Tribolium castaneum: one gene and its partners. The protein of the gene in region 3 binds, or shares a complex with, the protein of the main gene of each other region. Links are inferred from orthologs where the notes say so. Each region holds a gene or a part of one and is shown on either strand. Other genes may lie near its edges.

Region 1 (2,802 bases), on a different chromosome or scaffold from region 3:
TTTTTTATTAAAATCTTAAATATTGATAATATTGTAAGAAACGTGTAGAAGAATGATGCACTGTTATGATACGACCAAGAAACTAAAAAAATTCTTATTATTTTTTAACAAAGCGCTAATGCTACGTTTCTACTTTTTTTACGTATTTTTTAAACAAAACATTTAAGAATGACCACACGCATGACAGAGAAACCTCAAAATTTCGGTTAATATAATTAATGTTTATTGTTTTATGAATATTAGTATTTTCAATTCATTAATATTTATTACAAAAAATTGTCGAAAAAATAAAGCATCTTTAGCAAACGCAAATTTTTGTGGTTATTAGTTCAAGATTTACAGCCAAAATATGACGGTTTCCTTCTCTTTTATCAAAGTTTACTCGTTTTCAAGCAAATAATTGCCCAAAATAAGCCGTTTTCATCCAAACTGTAACTTAATTCGTTCTTTTGAGCCAGAATATAGAGCGTGTTTAGTCTGTTTAATAACAGTTTTCTCGTTTCGAAGCAAAAAAACGTCTAAAACAAGCCGTTTTCATGCAAACTATAACATAGTTCTTTTGAGACAGATTGAAACGTGTTCTGTTTGTTATATAAAAGTTAACCAATTTCTAAGCAAAGAATCGTCCAAAATAAGCCGTTTTTAGTTAAACTGTACGATAAATCGTTGTTTTGAGACAGTATAAGACGTTCTCAATCTGTTTTATAAAAGTTTCCGCGTTTCGAAGCAAAGAATCGTCCGAAATAAGCCGTTTTAATCCAAACTGTAACATTTTGAGGCAGAATAAGACTCTAAAATTAAAACAATTTACCAAACACGGCAAAACCGATCGGTTTTCTGTTTTACATATTCCGTTGTTACTGCATTTTTTTAATACTTAGTTGCTGTTGCTTGAGTAATTGATTCGTTTACTAATTAAATTGTACTTACTGTATATCGTCAATTTTTTTAATTTCGCTGTTTCTGTTGGGCCTCGAGCGCTTCGGCGTCTCCATGACCCAGTCGCTGTCGTCGTTTCTGCTGGCACTCGGGGTCCGTTTGCGCGAAACGTTAAAGCGCGTGTTACTGACCGGTAATGGAGTGTTAACTTTGGCTACTGGCGTGGGAATGTCCGGTTCTTGCTTCATTTGTTTCTCTTGATATCGTTGGAGTTGCAACAGTTTCTCTTCGATCTCGGGATTAAGGTTTTCTTGTTTAAGTGCAGTTTTAATAGCTGCATAAATTCAGACAAAAAAATATGAAAAATACAAAATAAAAGAGGGAAGTTCTGGTAATAACTAGGAGACCCAAAGCAAAACGACTTGAAAATAAAGAAGTGCAAGGTTTTTGGCAAGGAAACTCCTGGTCGCTTTTTGTAACAGTTTTATTACACAATTTTTCGGATACATTTAGGTACAGCTTACATCATCGCATGGAAATTGTTGCAACTAGATTATAATAATTTATTTACCTCAAAAGTTTCCGGTAACGTCACATGAAATAAGCGAAAACGAACAAATGTATAAAAATCAGTCTTTTTTAGGGAACAAAAACACGAAAATATCACAGAAATAAAATACGCACAATAGGGAAACTTTTGATCGAGTAGGAACCCTTGCTCTTCTAAATACTGTTCGATTGTTTAAGTTAATTAAAACCGATTGACGAAGTCGTTTTGCAATGGGTAAGTGGTACAATTAGGATTGTACACAATTACAGATGGTTGATATAGCAACATACTTTGTTGTATATAGTCAGGCGTGACGACAAACTGCTTATTCTGATCACTAGAAGCGGTTTGTTGCTGCTGTGGCGACGTTGTGACACTCTGATTAGACTCCATATTCGCTTTCATGGCTTGAAGCAGAGCAGAAGTTTGCGACTGCTGCCCATTGACAAGCACTTGACGACCCGAAGTTGTCACATTTTCGTTCGTCTGGAAGGATTGTCAAGACTTAGTGAGAAAAATTTCCACCGACCGTGCACTATACTTTTGTAGGACCATAAAGTAAACAAAAAGCTGTTTCATCATCAGTCTTTTATTCCAACACGTGTTAGTACAAACAAATGATGTGAAGCCATGAACAAAGCCGCCTCACACCCACCACAAAAACAAGAATAAGTTACATGCTTCTCACACTTTAATCTCTTCTTAAATTAACACATGCAAAAGCACCGTCGAAAAAATGTAGACGAAAGAGTAAAACAAAGACGCACTTACATATTAATAAAACATCAATCAAAGGCCAGACCATGCGACAACAAGGTTGGTTAAAATTGATCTCAAGTCAAAAGTACCTGATTAGCAGGTTGCACTATCACCTTGGGCTTGGGGGTTACGTTGCATACCTGCTGTACTGTTGAAACAGTCTGTTTGACGATGTTCGATTGTTGTCCTTTGGCTGGAGTCGCCGCCGACTGTACGACAGACTGCTGGACGGGAGCTAGCGGAGGCGGTTGACTCGAAACACCCTCGGATTGTCCTTCGGAATTGCTCGGCTGCACGGCAAGATAGATCTTAGTCGGTCCCAAAACACCCTGCTTCCCGGTTGAAGCTTGCGCTAAACAAACATCACGAAAACTAACACAAGCTCCAGAGAAAATAAGTTGTAAATAATTTACAACTTGAGTCAAAATTTCTTAGCACTATATTAACAGTAAAATGACTCACCCTTTAGCAGTTGTTGCTTGACTTGCTGCTGCACTGCTGCCAACTGCTGGGCCGTAAAATCGGCCCCTTGCAACCCCTGCAAAACTATCCTCGGCCCGTAGTCAGTTTGTATCACCTGTGCTGTTACACATTTGATAACAGTTCCGGGCGGT
Region 2 (4,071 bases), on a different chromosome or scaffold from region 3:
TGTAAAAGCTTGAAAGCAATCAAGAAAATATTGCCAGTCTATCCACGAAAATACTTATTTACACTTTATGCGTTCGGCTTAAAAACAGACATGAACACTGTTATCTAGGGTTTTTTATACCTAGGAAAACCTTATCTGTTATCAAAGTCGTAAATTTATTGCTACCGAATTAGGATGAAAGGTGCAACAATGATCTTACTTAAAATAGCATATAAACAAGCGTAAATGTAAAAAAAAGTAAGTCCAAAGTTAAATTATATCCACTACCATCTAAATTATGTAAAAAATCCATACAGTAATCATTTACGTAAAAACACTAGAAACTGATGCAATGTGAAAACCTAATCGCACGAATGAATTCAACTAACCACCGGTTAAAAATATCTCGATATAATTTTTAAGCCTGTTTCGTTTATCGACGATAATGTATAAAAGTTGAGGTTGTTAAAAGTTATAAAGCTTGAAACTTTGAAACCGTTGCGTGCCTTCGTGGATGATGTATCGCAAAGATTAAGGACTGTAGTAACGCAAAAAGCCGTTATTTCGCAGTATGAAAGAACCTTTTGCCCTTTAACAAAAGGAATTAATTTTACGCGTTAAAGCAACTGAAGTCATAACGCGTTTTTACATCCAAGAATGGGCCAAAAAAGTTGTCACAAACAGGATTCCCAATTCAAGCAGAAATAACAAACACGACAGTAACTCCTGAAGCTTTTTATGTAAATAAATAATCAAACACGTGTGCCCCAAACATGGTCTTGGATTGTAATGTCCCAGCGATTTTGATTGGGAAAAATCGTGATCGCAGACTGGCAGTGTCTCAACTCAGGTTCAAGGATACCTCAACAGGTTAATGGGAAGATCAGATTTATGATAGGTATTATCTGCCATGTCGCACTAGTTCCATTAGGAATTTTATTGACGGGATATCAAAGAACAAACGTTTGTTAAGAACGTAGCAATCAATAGCGATGCTAATCTGATAGCGACAGATATGTATATTTTATGGGGCCACTATTAATTAAAAATTAATGCAATTGCCGATAGCCACGGTCAAGATAATTAGAAGTAGACGTTTTTTGTCCTGTGACTAGAATCATAATTATCTCCGCTGTTTTAATGAGCTCGTCTTCAATAAAGCAATTTGAATAATCATTATCGATAATAAAGTGAAACGTACTAAAAAACGGAAAAGTAGTTTTTAAGAACTCTTAAGTTATACATAAAATAAACTGGATGTGGAAAATGCGCAGACGCGTGGTAAATATTGAGCAAAACTTGAAAAACCATTCATCTTCAAAATAGCCGGGCGCGGTGGACAGTGGACACACTGTATAGTACAGTAACACTTCGTTAATCCGAAGGTGATTCGGACTACAAAAAAATTCGGATTACCAGTAGCAACATAGTAATTATGTTTACAATCAGAAGAAACGTGGAAGCTTTAGTAAGCACACAAGTATAAAAATAGTTAGTAGTGGAAATTAATAACTCCCTTGAAATAATAATGATGTAGATTAATCCAATTACAGGGACAGGACAAGAAAGTGTTTAAATCGACTAGTTTTGTTACTGGCGTTGATAACACTCGATAATTTATCTAATAATTATGATTTTTGTGTTAATCTAAAAACCTATTCGGACGAGAAAAGCTTCGGACTATTGAGATATTGCTGTACCTATTAAGAGAAAAAGGGGTGACTGAAGGTGGGGTCTGAGAACCGGTTTCCGACAAAACAATCTAAAATATTTAACTTACAAGAGGTAAAAAGCTCGGTTTTTCTTCAATGACGCAACCTTATGAGTTTAACTGCTTTTGTGATCCAATAAAATTCACGAAACCATTACAAATGCGTGGCGATACTGATCTACCTCCACACAAACACGCGATAATTATGGTCAAGATAAATTAGAAACAAAAACAGAAGTAGTCGAAAATAGGCAAAGACATGCAAGAAAGATGAAAGAGATGAATGAATTGTGCAATTACCCCGAGATAAAAATTCGATCAATCGTTCGAAAACTTAGGAATAGATGTAAACAAATCCGTCTTATCTTTAACGAACTACAAACAAATTAATTTAGGGGGGAACGAGTGGAATACCTGGAGCGGTTCCTGGCTGTTCGGCGATTTGAAAATCTTCATGGGCTGCCCTGCCACCGAGGTCACAATGCCACTTATGGGCTTTCCACTGGGCTGGACCACCTTAATCATCTGCCCTGTTACAGAAAAAACGAATAAAACACGTGCACTGAACCCGCTTTTCCTCCCACATCGAGGCGGTTTCCCCCGAAACTCGGTCCTTTCCCGCCCAGCCCCCCAACCGGCAACTGTTTGCCCCCGCACCACTTCGTTGTGGGCCCCCGTTTTGGAAAAACCCCCGAACCCTTTAAAAATTACCATTGGCTCCCTGGATCACCCAGTTGGTTGTGCTGTTCTGCTGGGTCATTTTCCCTCTCGTGCGAAACACTCACTCGCCGCCCCTTTAGCACATTTCCTCAAAAACGGGACACTGTCGAAAAAGCACCGGTTTTTAAATCCGAGCTCCTCTCCATCCAACTCCAACAAAAATGGCGACTGTAACTAGGCGATATTTTGGAATTGAAATAGGCGGACCCCGCGCACCACGAATTCGGTTTAAACAACTCGCGAAGTTTCCTCGAATATCGCAATTTGCTAATTTCGCGCTTTTTAACTGCTTGCTTGCGATACAACACTTGGGGGTGTTTTTGAAGATGAGCTATTTCGTGCAAGGAAAGCCACTACCAGCTTGGCGGCGGGTACAAAGGCATCGCTCCCATTGGCTGGATTCCTTCACGTGGGACACGCTGCTCCTAGTTCGGGCAAGCGGCACGAGGGAGCGATGCGTTCGAAATATTTTGGCGCCTTTTTGCCTTGCGGCCCCCGCACGGGGCGCACGAGGCCCTGACACCGGGCAAATGCCCCGGAAAAAACACCCAGGGATGCAGTTTCAATAATACGCGGCTGTCAGGAAAGGTGCACCCACCGAACAGGCCATCGACAGAAACGTGCAAGACAGAACCTTAAATTATTAGAAAGGCAGTATTCGCTAGGTGTCGCTACTGCAAAAATACTATTTTGCACTATAATGACGAAATAGTCAGTAAATACGGTAAACACAAATGTAAAAGAATAATTATAAAATACTATTTATTACCTGTTTCGAAACCATAAAAATGCCAACATCACATTTTCTCTCAAAATTTGTTGTAATGGGTCAATTCACGACGGTATGCGTGTGGATATGGTAAATGTAATGTAGTTTTTCGACCTGTTATCTTCTTATAGATCTTAATACTAATTGTTCATACTCTTCTGACTGAATTTTTAGTCATCATAGCATGAATAGCAAAGGAAAGAAGCTCATACCCACACGCAAACCGTTATGAATTGACCCCATCAATATTTTGTAATTTTTGTTTTTATTTTTTAAAGCAAAAACCAAAAAAATACACGTTTTTAAGTAGAATATTTTTTTGGGGATTTTTTTTTTAAATCCAAATCTGTCATTGCCTTTTTCAAGACGTTCTTGATGTTAGAGTTACGACACTCAACTTTAGCCATATTTGATACTTGCATTTTTTAAAAGTTTTTTTATTTCTGCTAACAATTCGATGTATCACATAATGATCAGCAATTTTCGTAAAAATGCTTTTTCTCCATTTTGATCAGCATGTAATATTTGATCATATTTTGTGATACATCGTTGAAATCAGAAATAAAAACGACAAACGGACACCCTGTATTTATAAATATGTTTATTGCTGATTGTTTTTTACAGCCGTAAAACTATTTTTTTGTATTCTTATATTGCATATGAAATATAGATTTGTCGAACATGTAACATATAAAGAACAGTTTATTGAAAAGCTAAAGCGGCTTCAGAGGAATAAAAGTGCCGAATCAATTTTAGTAGAAACGAAAATTTAAACATTTTAAAACAACAATGAAAATTGTTGCTAAATACAAAAATTATGTAAAAATAAATACATTTCTGAAAATGAAAATGTGTCCTGGGTGTCGATTCTAAACCAATACTTCGACTCGAA
Region 3 (5,171 bases):
ACTGTTTTGTTAAATTATTATCAAATTCGAGGAGTACTGAGGTTTGGTAGGTTTGCCCTATTCGCGACCAAAATTATTATACATAAACTACAAGGTAGGTATGCATGTCCTAGTTATATACTCAGTGTTTTTAATTAAAAAAGTGCAGTTTCTTTCTTTATATTTGTGTAAAAACGTTCAGTCCGTTTTTTCTATACATTGTGTGATATTGTGTACAGGGTGTTTGCCCCCTGTGTATGAAATTACCTGAATTCAACAAACAAAACTGCGTTCGGCTATGGCTATAATCTCGTTCATTTAATAACATTAATTGTGTTTAAGACTGTACATTTGGTTTTCTGTGAAGTAAAAATTATTTCTAACCGGCTCTTTCATTGTCACCCCATCTCGTAACCTTTTCTCACCTAATTAATATTAATATTCCTCTCGAAAACTGCTCAATCATTATGTTTGTTGGGATATTTTATAAACAAGTTAAATCATTTACATAATGATATTTTATGCTGATACGAGCGAAAGAAGAATTCAGTTTTTATCCAGCTGTTATCACACCATGTCCACACTCAAGGTAAGCCACAGCCACATCTTGTAACCACTTGTAATCCCAGTGTAGTATTTGAGCGGTTTCGGGTCCGAATTTTCCTCGGAAGACCCCAGATGCCCCAACTCACTCCCGAAAGGGCAAAACAGCCCACAAAAGTGCCCATATGGGTTGTACGCCGAGCAATTGTCCGGGAGCGCCTTTACGGCACCCAGATGCGAAAACAGGAGGAGTTGGTTGTATAGAATCCGACCATCGGTGGGACACAAGCCCTTTTCGCCCTTTCCAGGGGTCAATGTTACGCACAACTGGACGGAAACAGAGCCCGACCCTAATCAGGTAAAAACCGCCACAAAAATTAAATTTATTAATTGGCGACCACCAGATGCGATGGAATCCCTTCGACTTGCCCAAACCCGGCGAAAACGTTGATTTTGTCTCCGGTTTGAACACCGTCGCAGGGGCCGGGGACCCCAAAACCAAACAAGGCCTAGCTATTCACATTTATTCCGCTAATAAATCAATGAAAGACCGCTGTTTGTACAACTCGGACGGCGATTTTTTAATAGTCCCCCAAACCGGGATTTTGAAAATCACGACCGAGTTTGGGAAAATGCAAGTGGCGCCGAACGAAATCTGCGTCATCCAGCAAGGGATGCGATTTTCGGTCGAAATTGAGGAACCGTCCCGTGGTTACATTTTGGAGGTGTTCGGGCAACACTTCACTCTCCCCGATTTGGGCCCAATTGGGGCGAATGGTTTGGCCAACCCCCGCGATTTTCTCACTCCTGTGGCATGTTACGAGGATCGTAATGTCGCAAAATACGAAGTCGTGGCCAAATACCAGGGCAAATTGTTTGTGTGTGAACAAGACCACAGCCCGTTTGACGTGGTGGCCTGGCACGGTAATTACGTGCCGTATAAGTACGACCTTGCCCGCTTTAATGTCATCAATTCGGTGTCTTTCGACCACTGTGACCCCTCGATTTTCACCGTCCTGACGTGTCAGTCTGAGAAAAAGGGCACGGCAATTGCCGATTTCGTGATTTTCCCGCCGCGTTGGTCCGTTCAGGAACATACGTTCAGGCCGCCTTACTACCACAGGAATTGCATGTCCGAGTTTATGGGGCTTATTTTCGGGGAGTATGAGGCGAAGAGAGGGAGTTTTAGGCCAGGAGGGGCCACTTTGCACAGTATTATGACTCCGCACGGGCCCGATTTTAATTGTTTTGAGGCGGCAAGTGTCGAGGTTTTGAAGCCGGCCAGAGTGGCTGATGGGACCCAGGCCTTCATGTTTGAGAGTTGTTTGGGGTTGGCTGTCACCAAGTGGGGGGCTAAGACGTGCCAGAAGCTGGACCCGGAGTACTACCAGTGCTGGCAAGGGCTCAAGAGCCACTTTACCGGCCCGAAATGAGATTTTTCAATAAATTACTACGTTTACAATTCGTGTTTTTGTAAATAAGCCTTTTTAATCCTGATTTATAAATCAGGAATTGAAGATAATTTTTTATGCAATTTCTATTCGACCTGTGTCATAAAATTTTTTTAATGAAACTTGGCGGAAATGTTGACTGTTAGCGGGTAATAAATGATTAAAATTCGAACGATTGTAAATAAAACAAGTGTTCTGGACAAAGTATTTATTTATTTGTAAAAAATGTTTAAAATATTGTGGATAACATAATGTTTCAGTTTGATAAACACAAATGGTCACACTTTCACTTAATTACTTCAGTAAAGGAAACGAGAACGTGGTATGCTTACAGGTAACACTAAAACTAAACATAAATAAAAAAACTAGACTAATTCGCTGGAGTTTCCATATCGGCCTGTTGCTCGGGCTCCTCATCGTTATAAATATTCTCGGCCATTTGCCACACTTGCATAATATTATCCTCAGACACGGAACAAATAACCCACGGTTCGTTGGGATTCCAACTAAAATCTAAGGAAAAAAAATTAAACGCTAATTACACTTTGATAAAAATTACGAAAACGTTAAGTAAATACGACTAAAGATTATTTACACAAAAAAAAAAAAATATCAAAAAAGATTATTAATTTACCTGAAATTTTGGCCGTGTGGCCCCCATGTATGAAGAGGAGCTCCGGAGGCCCATCCTCTGCATCCTCCGGACTTTGCTCCTCTCCGATTTTGCTCAAATCCCAGACATGCAGCCTGCGATCGGTCCCCGACGACGCCAGAATAGTCTCATTATGGGGGCTCCACTGCACTTGGAAAATCTCATCCTTGTGCGACTCAAAACTGTGCAATTTCAACTTAAGATTCCTCAAATCCCACAAAGCTACAGTCTTATCAGCGCTCCCAGTTGCAAGAATAAACTCCGAATAGGGGTTGAAACTGAGACAGTTAACCTCAGCAGTGTGTGCATCGACAGTGTGCGACGGTTTGCTCGTATTGTTACACCTAGTGTCCCAAATCATCAATTTCTGGTCGTCTGCGACCGAACCGAAGAGACTTTCGTGCAGAAGGTGCCAGGCGACGTCCTCCACCACGGCAGTGTGCCCCGTAAAAATGGTCTTCGCGTCTATAATTCGGTTCTCTTTCGGGGTCGCGTTAATGTCCCAGAGACAGATCGTGTGGTCATCGCTGGCCGAGAGCAAATAGCCGTTCAAGTTGGGGTTCCAGGACAGCCCGTAGCCCTCCTTCTGGTGCCCCCGGAGTCTCAGGTCCGGGTGGCACTCCCCGTTGGGGTCAGGCTTGCTGGGGTGCTTCGTATAGTCGAACACTAGCACGTCGCTTGAGGGGGTTTTTGTGGCTATAACGCACGGGTTCTGGGGCATGTAGCGAGCCCTGTTCACCTCTCCTTCGTGGTTGATTTTAATTTCAATCTCAATTTTCCCCGAAACTGAGCCAAAACCGCCAAACTCGCCCTTTTCGTTATCATAGTGCGAGGCATCGAACTGAGCGTCTTCGTTCGGGAGCTGGACGCTGGCGATCAGGAGGTGGTTTTGCTCGTCGGAGGTGTGAGTGCCGAGGATTAGGCGGTGGATGGAGTGGTCTTTGCCCTCGGGGCGCGTTACATCGGGCAGCCACTGGGCGGTTAAAGAGGGCCACTCGAGGGCATGTGTCATTACAAGGTCGTACAAAAAAGGGGTGTTTTTTTTCCAGATCTTGTACTCTTCGTTGATGACTCGCTCCTCGACCGCGTCGTCGAAGGTTTCTGTGTAAGATTTTTTGTGCAGTTGACCGGGTTTTAAGGTTACGTTCGCAAAGTTACAAAAAAAGCGTGATTTTGGCGAGGCAAACTAGAAAATACTTACCGGAGTCTCCCTTATCCCCCATTGTTACAACGAACACAAACGAATAATGTTAAAATTGATAAATTCAAGTAAAAATGAATGAGCCGTCCACTAAATATGACGCTAGCCCGCCAATTTGGAACAGTGGTGCCACAACGCCACAAGTCAGCAGATTCAAATTAAGCAAACCGTGGCCAAAATTTTGGCGGTGGTACGTTTTGATTTAGCTAACTCGATGCTTCATAGTCATGGTATTCCAATGTTTTATTAAAAAAATAGAAGGAAAAAATATATAATTGAGAGCCAACGTGGCAACAGGGAGTAAAAATTATGCGACTGAAAGCGATGAGCACGATTGTGTGTTGAACCGAAAACTTTAAAATTCACAATTGAATTAATTTTCAGTGATTTTTTTTAATATAACTTATAATCAGGTTGTAGAAAAAATAGAGTATGCAGCTTGAGTCTGGTTCACTAATTTTTCAGCTCAAGTTAACACTTTAGGATTTATTAAATAATGCACGTTTACTTACAGAGGTGGAGGTTAAAAAAAAACTCAGGTAACTTAAGAGGGTTTATTCAACGAAATATAAATGGAATCTCGGGCAAGATCACAATATTGAAGATAATCATTAAGGCACAAACTTTCAAAATTTAAAAAAGGGTTACTCAATATTAAAAAAATAATTAATTGCACCTAAAACGTAAAAATAAATAAAAATAAGAGCAATGTAAAAATGAATTAAGTAACTTGAGGAACAGGGCGATAAAAATTTATTTCGAAAAATTTGGGTAAAAAACTACGAACTCGAAGCTACACTAATATTACTAACACTCGTGGCGCGACTGCTCGGCCTCAAATCCACGTCTCTTTTAAAAACAGCGAACCCTTGATTAACCAATTCTTGTGCGATATCGACGTCCTTTTCACCGTTCACATCGAACAAATCAACACCGGGGACCGGAGAGCCCTCGCGCTTCGCCCTCGTCTTCTCCCTAACACAATATCCGTTAATTTTCGCCGACAGTTTCTTCCACTGCGCCACATGTGTCCACTCTTCGAATTTATCCACGGCTTCCACCGACCAACTCTCTCCCACGGGATCTAAAAACCCACTTACCCACCAAACGCCCAAAAAAATAAATAAATAATCGTACCAACTCGTGCTAGAAAACACTCAATTGCTTGAAAATGCAGTCGGAGGAAATCGGTCCTCAACTCGTACAATTCCTCAACGGGGACCAAATCCGTGTCCCCGTAATCAACATAGTAGAGTTCAGCTTGGGGCGGGTTATCGTCACTCAGACTGAGCACTTCAGCCCGGTACCATTTGCTGTCGTATTGGAACACAGCAGCGACAAGATC
Region 4 (3,993 bases), on a different chromosome or scaffold from region 3:
TGCTTTCTAAAAAGCTAGATTTGTGTTTAAAGCGGTTTCGCTGCTTTAAACTCTCAAATATTATTAATTTTTTTAAATTTATGGGCCGGTTTATAAAAGGCTCTGTTAAAATTGAATTCGTTGTTAAAAGTTAACAACGCGAATGAACCAACCAAATGACTTCAATTTGGTCACGTAATCAGTTAATCACGCATTTTATAACTGATTAAATTAATGACGTTTTTATAAACCGGTCCTATGATTAGTTATGATAATTAAACTAGTTTACAAAAAATTTTTTCTTTTACCAAGAAATAATTTATACTGATTTTGTTTTCTTCTCACTCACTAATAACGTAATAACTAAAATATATCTCACATTTGTCTATCACGTCTTGTTTTTTTAATATATTCACTAAAAGTTTTGAAAATATATTCGTTGTTTCTGTGATAAACTAATAGTTAAACATTGTATTTGCTTTAAAATATCGTCAAGTAAATGTAGATTAAGCCCAAACAACTTTTGTTTTTTTGTGGTAAAATTATCTTAGTAAAACCTGAAAAACTTAAAGGCAAGAAATAAGAATTTCTCAGTTTCGAATGTAAAGGGAAAAATGTTTAGGAATGCAACCCCTTAATTATTTCTAACTAAGTGTAAAGAAGAATTTAGAACTTGCTCTACTGAAAACTGCTAACCAATCTTCATAACATATAATTGTTGTTTTCTTCGATAAATAAGTTTTTTACAGTAGAGGCTTCCTTTTTCATGAGAATTTTTGTATGAAAAGCTGATTTTTGTTCATTAGTTAATGTGGCATTATTAGCGGTGTAGTTAGAAAAAACAGTTCTAAGGAACAAAGTTGTGGTGAATTATCTTCTACGATTCAGGTATTATTTAATTTTCCATTATTCGAACATTGGTAAAAAACCGTCTTCAACGTTTTTGGGACCCCTTCGGTTGAAAATCACAGCTTTCTTGATTAATGAAGGGTCAAGGGACTTTCCCTTCGTTAATCAAGGAAGCTGTGGATATGGTCTTAAGGACTCTTCTAAAGAAAAGAGATGGCGCTACGTAAGGAGAGTTTTTTTAAGTTAGGAGAATCAACTCCAACAATGAAAAAGAAAGCTTTGTTACGGCCTTAATGGTGGCATTACAATGCAAAAACGAAAAGAATCACCCTGTTTATTTTTTAGTAGGGAAATTCAACTTTACACTAAATCGCCACCGGTGCTAGGTTGGCGTCCTTGCTGCGGGAACAACGGTGCCATTTGCAAAGCGGCGTGTTGTGCTACCGCCGTAATTCTAATAATTTAAACAAATTGTTACAAAGTGAACAGTGATTTGTAATAATTAAAGCCAAAGTAATTAAAAACAATTTAGTTTTCTACAGTACAAGATGGCCACACAACCTCACAGTCGGAAACGTGTTTGTTACTATTACGACAGTAAGTAGCCACCAATTTCAGCCAAACATGAATTATTCCACCATTTTGGGGCGTTTGTTTTTGAAATTTGCCAACAAAATGCATGCGTTTGCTTAATTTTGTGTCGTATCGTGCTATCATGTAAATACGATTTTCGAAACCGTAAGCCTGGAAATTCACGGTAGACTACGGTCGCGGTATTTTTGCTCGGTGCTGATTGGTTAGCTTGGTTTATGATGAGATGATGACGCTTTTTTGTACGGTGTTACGATGGCGAATGTTATTAGTCCATCGTGAATTTTGATTCAATTCTGATAATTTTGAATTGTTAGGCGATATTGGGAATTACTATTATGGGCAAGGACACCCCATGAAGCCCCACCGCATAAGGATGACCCATAATTTGCTGCTCAATTATGGTCTGTACAGAAAAATGGAGATTTATGTGAGTATTTAATTTCCATGAATTGTTGGTGTTATTTAGTTTTGACTTTCCCAGCGCCCCCATAAAGCCACTGCCGAAGAAATGACCAAGTTTCACTCGGATGACTACATTCGATTTCTCAGATCCATCCGACCTGACAACATGTCTGAGTACAACAAACAAATGCAGAGGTTTAATGTAGGGGAGGACTGTCCTGTCTTTGACGGTTTGTACGAATTCTGCCAACTCTCAGCTGGGGGCTCAGTGGCGGCAGCTGTTAAATTGAACAAGCAAGCGTCCGAAATTTGCATCAATTGGGGCGGGGGTTTGCATCACGCGAAAAAATCCGAAGCTTCGGGCTTTTGCTACGTAAATGATATTGTTCTGGGGATTTTGGAGCTGTTGAAGTACCACCAACGCGTGTTGTACATCGATATTGACGTGCACCACGGTGACGGTGTCGAAGAGGCTTTTTACACCACTGACCGGGTGATGACAGTCTCGTTCCACAAATACGGTGAGTATTCTAAAAATAAGACAAAGGGGCGAAACGAGATACAAAATAACTCGATGTTTTTACCAAAAATTTAGTCCCCCAGAGCATCAGTGCTCCATAGCATCGTTTTGGTTTCATTTAAATTAATTTAAACTCAACCGGTTCACTATTTGTCTGAGAAAAATGTGCTGTTCTAGGGGAAAAACATTATTGAAATGTTTTTAAAACGTTGCAAATACGGTTAGTAAAATACAAAGAGGTGTATAAGTATTAAAGCAAACTGTTCGAAACATTTTTTATATGTCGAGAATTACTTAAATATTTTGTTGTAAAATTTTCTTCTAATACGGTCAGAAGTTTCCAACAAAGGATGAAAATTGTATTACTCTGAATAATTCAGCTAACTTAAAGTCGTTTTATAGATGAAAAGCATTTTTTTAAGAAATCTCATCGAATAAAGGCAAAGAATGTGTTTGCTTTTTTTAATACCTACTTAAACACATTTCTAAGGTAAAAATTCACTTTTCTTGCTTAGTTTTATATTACTTTTGCCTTTGTTTTTGTCAAAAAAAAAAAACAAAAATGAAGATCGGAAATGATTTTATTTTGGCTTTTTTGTTCTTGTTTTGAGTGATTTTCTTTGTTTTTTTTTTCACAATTGCTTTAATAACTCGGTAATTTTCTGAAATTTATATATTCTTTGGACATTTTTAGTTCTAGTTTTATTTATTAGTTTCAATCAATTTAACATTTTGCTTAAATAGGTTTAAAAAGGATTATCAGTGGACATCGAATATCCATTTTTGCCTTTCTTCAGCATTTTGATTAAAAACATACCTATTTCTCATAAATTGGTTACAACAGGACCAAAAATCATTAGTAATCTAAGCGAGAAACTCACTGTGAAATGACCACTTTTGTATGACTTCGTTAAACACTCCGAACATTTTCTTTATTATGATTTCGTTGTTTGTATGATTTCGTTAAACACTTTGAACAATTTCTTTATTACGTAGAAAATTACGGTATTTTTATTATTAAACAAGTAAGTATTAAACAAGTGTAAGATGATTTTACTTTTTTCGTAAAACTGCATTAAAACGCCAAAAATAATTTAATTACGTTTGAAATACCGGATTTTTATTTTAAATATGCAAAACTTTGTCAGAAGACCAATGAATGATCTTGATAGTTGTCGTTCCTTTCGGTGGGCTTACGGTGACTTGTTAAAACAAGATGAGAAATTATTTGATACGTCGGAAATGACGTGAATTTTGAGCGAAAGGTCGAAAATAATGTGAATTATTTTGATCAGTTTTTCTAGAATTGGGTCGTTTTTTTTTTGTAAAATTTGAAGTACAAATGCCGAACATATCACATAATTATTATTTTACCTATAATTAGGTATATATTATTTTTGCTTTTAAGCACACTTCTCACTTTTCTGTTGAAATTTCGCTCAAATAGAGCAAGTGATTATCAATAAAGTTATCGAATATTACGTCACTTTGATTTTTTTCCACTTACTCATAGTAATTCGCATTAATTCGCTAGAATAACAGGCCAAAAAAATCACAAATGAAGGTAGGGAATGACATTACTTTGGTCTTTTTCGCCATACATATTTATGTGGGAAACTAAGATTTGTTGCAATTTTGTCAATAAATGA
Region 5 (4,033 bases), on a different chromosome or scaffold from region 3:
GCAAAGTCTAGGCTTGCCATAAGGGTTAGCATTTCAGTGGTGTGCCCCCCTGAACCAATGCAGATGACTGTCCTGCAGGGGGTTACTCTTTTACTGGACGCTTCGCGACTAAAACCAGTCGTTATCTTGTGGACTAGGTACAAAATCCTGGCCAGGATTAAAACGGCGATTAAAATCGCCAATTCAATTTTTAACTGATCTGAAAATTTAAAATTCGATTATAACTGTAAAACACGTTTGATTTTTCGGTTACCTTCCATGTCTCCAGGCTAGCTTCCTGCGATGGTTTCTGAAAAATGGAAAGTTATTGAAACATCAATTAAATAAGAGGACGACATAAAAATCCACAAAAAATCATCACAAAAGTCCCCAAATATATACCAAAATTTGAAAGCCATAAATTACAAAAAATAGCTTTAAAAAACTGCTGTCATAAGACCTTGAGGCAGTCGTTATTTATTCGTGCCTCAAAACTTATGAAAGTGCTTTTTAATATACAGTCGGTACCCTTTATTTTATTTTTTTTCAAATGTAGGTGATTTTTTTATCATTTCTCTTCAATTCCTTTTAATTAAAATATTGAAAATGATTTCAAAACCAACAAAAATAGTATCTGGAGATTCTAATGGCATTCTAAAGGATACGGTGTTTAAATGATGTTCTTTCCAGACAATATAATACTTTAAGAAAATTGTTAATAACCGAAAAAACATTTATTTGTTGTGTAGCTCACATAATAGTAATTAATTAGATACTATAACTTTTTCTCCAGCATCACACTGTACGAATATTTCATGATTTTACTCATAAATGGCAAAGCAAATTCAAATTAAGGTATTCTTAAACCATCACAAAGTCCAAAAATTGAGAATTTTTGAAAATTGAAAAATCAGGTGATCCTTGGCGATTGTTGAGTAGTGTAAATTATTACAATTAAAACACAATAAACCTATCATTTTTATCTTATTTGACTTCACTATCACCTATTACCTAAAATTATGACATCCTGTGGATTGGGCACATCCCTGGGGGGCCGGGGGTTGGGACCTGGGGCACGGCGTTCGCAGGGTTAGATTATCGGCAGAGCATCGGCGCACGCGCCAGTCGATGGTGCCTGTGCTTAGAGGTTATATTTTTGGTTTTTTCTGTGTTTATAGAACTCCTTCCGTTCCAAAATGAATTGACCCTTCCCTCAGTTCGCATTCATTGTTTTCTTTCTTAATTGGCGTGAAAATGTCGAAAGTGAAAGTGAGTAACGAATGGAAGCGTCACGTGAAGCAAGAATACATCCGTTTGAGACAACAAAAGAGGTTCAAAAGAGCGGACGACGTGAAACTAGCATGGAACCAGAACCGGATCAAAATGACCGAAAACCTGATCGCCGAGCAGAAGCGCTGGACTGAGAGCAAAGCCTTCTGGGTGCCCCTGCCCGAGATCCCCTCGCATGTGACTTGCATGAAAAAGGCGGAAGTTATCGGGAATGAAGGTTGTTTGATCCCAGTTGTTGTCTCCAAGATGCTATGTTAGTTTCAGGCGATATACAGGTCACCCCCATTCGGATTATCAACGCGGTGACTCCCATCCCGACCATGTACACGTGGGCCCCCATCCAGCAGAACTTCATGGTGGAGGACGAAACTGTCCTGCATAACATTCCATACATGGGCGATGATTTACTGGACCAGGACGGGACGTTTATCGAAGAACTTATCAAAAATTACGATGGGAAAGTGCACGGGGACCGGGAGTCGGGATTTATCGATGATGAGCTTTTTGTGGAGCTGGTGCACGCGTTGATGCAATACCAGGACAGCGACAAAGGGGAGAAAAAAGACAAGGACAAGGAAAAGACCAAAGAAGAGGAAAAGAAAAAGGGGCTCGATTTTCCAGCTTTTATTATATTCCAAGCGATTTCGTCGCAGTTTCCCGATAAGGGGGACCCAGAGGAGTTGAGGGAAAAGTACGATGTTTTATTATATTTTTTACAGGCTTTTCCAGCGAGTTGGTAATATTCATTTTACATTATACGTGTATATAATTTCACAGCGTGAAGTTTTAATTTTGAAACTCGAGCTTTAACGAAACTGGACGCTGTATAATATCTAACGCACAAACAATTTGGTCATTTTTCGATCAATTCACATTTCGAGCAGAAAAAAAAGTGTTTACTTTTTAATCTTCTCACAGCATTAATGAGTTCATTTATCATAAAATATTGTTCTGAGGTCTCTGAAAAATTTTCATGTTATTTTACCGCACTGTATGCTTGAACAAAATAAATAAAAAAGTGTAAAGAAGTCCAACAAAAAAATTTTGAATAACACTCATACGAAAACGCTTAAAGTTAAAGTATTTAGGTAAGTAACTCGCATCTGCTCGTTGCATAACGACAGCTACTCTTGTGTTTTCGCACTCATATTATTAATAACTTATATTAAATAATGTCAAAATAATTGTCCAGACAGTAGGCTATGTTTATCGGTAAGCTACGATACAAATATGCTTTTTTTTAATGAAACACTCGGCTTTTGGCATTTGGAAGTAACGTTTAATATTAATGTTTTTAAGGGTAAACTTTTATTGTTGTGCTTGTTTTTTTGACGAAAACACATTTAACAAAATAATTATATCAAATCCAAGAATACGATTAAAAAAAATCAGTTGAGTCAGATTAGAGGAGAAAGAAAAAAACTTTGATGTTTTGACATTTTTTTGAAAAGTTCCAGTCAAGAAGTTTTTTATTTTTTACTTTTGCATGTTAAAGTTTTTTAAGTTCCCTTTAAAACCACAATCATTTAAGTGCGTCTTAATAATTACAAAGAAGATATAACTTTAAACAAAAAATTGTATTATTAATTTGTAAAATAGTTAAATTGAACTACAACCGCAAAGAAAAAGGGCAAGAGGAGTCTAACTTTTTTTTAGAAGAACCAAAGGATTATGTAATAGAATAATTTATTTGACTGTTTCGAGAAATGTCTTGAAAAATACATGTTTTTTACCGTTTTTCTTTAAAACATTAAAATGTTACTTAAGTTTTCTCTGAAATAAAGTCGAATTGTCAATAATAATTGTCAACGTTTGAAAATTAACTATAATTTTTTTCGAAGCTCTAATCTATGCACGAACACAAATTTACAAATAGTTTACGCTTATTTCAGTACACAATATCATAGCCTAGTTTTTTGTTAATTTAAATAAATTCAAATTTAAACGATTTAATTATAAAATAAAAAAATAAAAGGTAACAGATAAACGGAGTGTTAAACGTCCTTTGAATGCTTTATCCCTGGTTGAAAAAATAACTGATGGAGAACTTATAATGAAACGATTGTTACACAACGTTTCGTCCACTATACCACATACATCATCAGGCTAGAAATAATACATTTGTATAAAAAATGGAAAAAAAATATTGTGCGACCTTCTTTGCGTGTGTTGAATCTACTATCTTTTTTAAATTCCATAATGTCATTTTTTTCCATTTGATGATGTCTGTGGTATAATAGACGCAACGTTGTGTAACAATCATTGTTTCATTAAAGTTTTCCACCAGTTATTTTTTCAATCTACATTTGAAATTTTGTTTTTAGAAAAACACAAAATAACACACAAATAACAAACGTTTTCACTTTTTTATGTTCTTAATTGCAGTGCGTTAACGAACTACTACAGTTTTAAACTTGAAAATTTCCCTTTGCAGTGGTGGAAACTGTGGCACTCTTAGTTTTTGTGTATTTCATTAAAAAAATTGTTTCCGTCAAATAAAATAACTACTGTAAAATAGCAGAATCAACAAAAAAAATCAACAAAATCATCAGTACTTATTGATAACTACGTTAAAAATACAATAAAATATAGGGTGATTAATACTTTTACACTTGAAAATAATTTGATTTATTACTTTTTTTATGGTACTTTACCAACTTCGCTGGGTGGGACCCTGATTATTTTTTCCCTAACTTGCCTGGTTTAGGTACATTGAACTGACCGAACGGACCGACCCCAACGCGCCCCCTGAATGCACCCCAAA

What was found. The genes of interacting proteins can lie anywhere in the genome.
Region 1: Caf1-55 (region 3) and E(bx) share a complex: the UniProt entries of both Drosophila melanogaster proteins name them as parts of the NURF complex. The link is inferred for Tribolium castaneum from reciprocal best matches to the Drosophila melanogaster genes Caf1-55 and E(bx).
Region 2: Caf1-55 (region 3) and Dp share a complex: the UniProt entries of both Drosophila melanogaster proteins name them as parts of the DREAM complex. The link is inferred for Tribolium castaneum from reciprocal best matches to the Drosophila melanogaster genes Caf1-55 and Dp.
Region 4: Caf1-55 (region 3) and HDAC1 share a complex: the UniProt entries of both Drosophila melanogaster proteins name them as parts of the DREAM complex. The link is inferred for Tribolium castaneum from reciprocal best matches to the Drosophila melanogaster genes Caf1-55 and HDAC1.
Region 5: Caf1-55 (region 3) and E(z) share a complex: the UniProt entries of both Drosophila melanogaster proteins name them as parts of the polycomb repressive complex. The link is inferred for Tribolium castaneum from reciprocal best matches to the Drosophila melanogaster genes Caf1-55 and E(z).

Annotation. Positions count from the first base shown.
Region 1 is NC_087395.1:15,335,726-15,338,527, reverse strand, and holds part of E(bx) (nucleosome-remodeling factor subunit NURF301), read right to left. Parts: coding exon 2,651-2,802; intron 2,541-2,650; coding exon 2,278-2,540; intron 1,916-2,277; coding exon 1,720-1,915; intron 1,214-1,719; coding exon 931-1,213; intron 1-930. UniProt on the Drosophila melanogaster protein: Histone-binding component of NURF (nucleosome remodeling factor), a complex which catalyzes ATP-dependent nucleosome sliding and facilitates transcription of chromatin.
Region 2 is NC_087398.1:7,908,206-7,912,276, reverse strand, and holds the start of Dp (transcription factor Dp-1), read right to left. Parts: upstream 2,801-4,071; 5' UTR 2,451-2,800; coding exon 2,402-2,450; exon of another isoform or gene 2,221-2,401; coding exon 2,105-2,220; exon of another isoform or gene 2,086-2,104; intron 238-2,085; exon of another isoform or gene 90-237; intron 1-89. UniProt on the Drosophila melanogaster protein: Component of the DREAM complex, a multiprotein complex that can both act as a transcription activator or repressor depending on the context. In follicle cells, the complex plays a central role in the site-specific DNA replication at the chorion loci.
Region 3 is NC_087399.1:660,670-665,840, forward strand, and holds Caf1-55 (histone-binding protein RBBP4), read right to left. Parts: upstream 3,987-5,171; 5' UTR 3,849-3,986; coding exon 3,827-3,848; intron 3,727-3,826; coding exon 2,608-3,726; intron 2,487-2,607; coding exon 2,344-2,486; 3' UTR 2,167-2,343; downstream 1-2,166. Other genes in the region: hgo (homogentisate 1,2-dioxygenase), read left to right, coding at 491-568, 614-880, 927-1,955; tudor and KH domain-containing protein homolog, read right to left, coding at 4,606-4,910, 4,964-5,171. UniProt on the Drosophila melanogaster protein: Core histone-binding subunit that may target chromatin assembly factors, chromatin remodeling factors and histone deacetylases to their histone substrates in a manner that is regulated by nucleosomal DNA.
Region 4 is NC_087394.1:10,698,258-10,702,250, forward strand, and holds the start of HDAC1 (histone deacetylase HDAC1), read left to right. Parts: upstream 1-1,193; 5' UTR 1,194-1,376; coding exon 1,377-1,425; intron 1,426-1,736; coding exon 1,737-1,849; intron 1,850-1,903; coding exon 1,904-2,345; intron 2,346-3,993. UniProt on the Drosophila melanogaster protein: Catalyzes the deacetylation of lysine residues on the N-terminal part of the core histones (H2A, H2B, H3 and H4).
Region 5 is NC_087394.1:34,717,798-34,721,830, forward strand, and holds the start of E(z) (histone-lysine N-methyltransferase E(z)), read left to right. Parts: upstream 1-1,233; coding exon 1,234-1,486; intron 1,487-1,533; coding exon 1,534-1,960; intron 1,961-3,976; coding exon 3,977-4,033. Other genes in the region: UDP-N-acetylglucosamine transferase subunit ALG14 homolog, read right to left, coding at 1-199, 254-260. UniProt on the Drosophila melanogaster protein: Polycomb group (PcG) protein. Catalytic subunit of the Esc/E(z) complex, which methylates 'Lys-9' and 'Lys-27' of histone H3, leading to transcriptional repression of the affected target gene.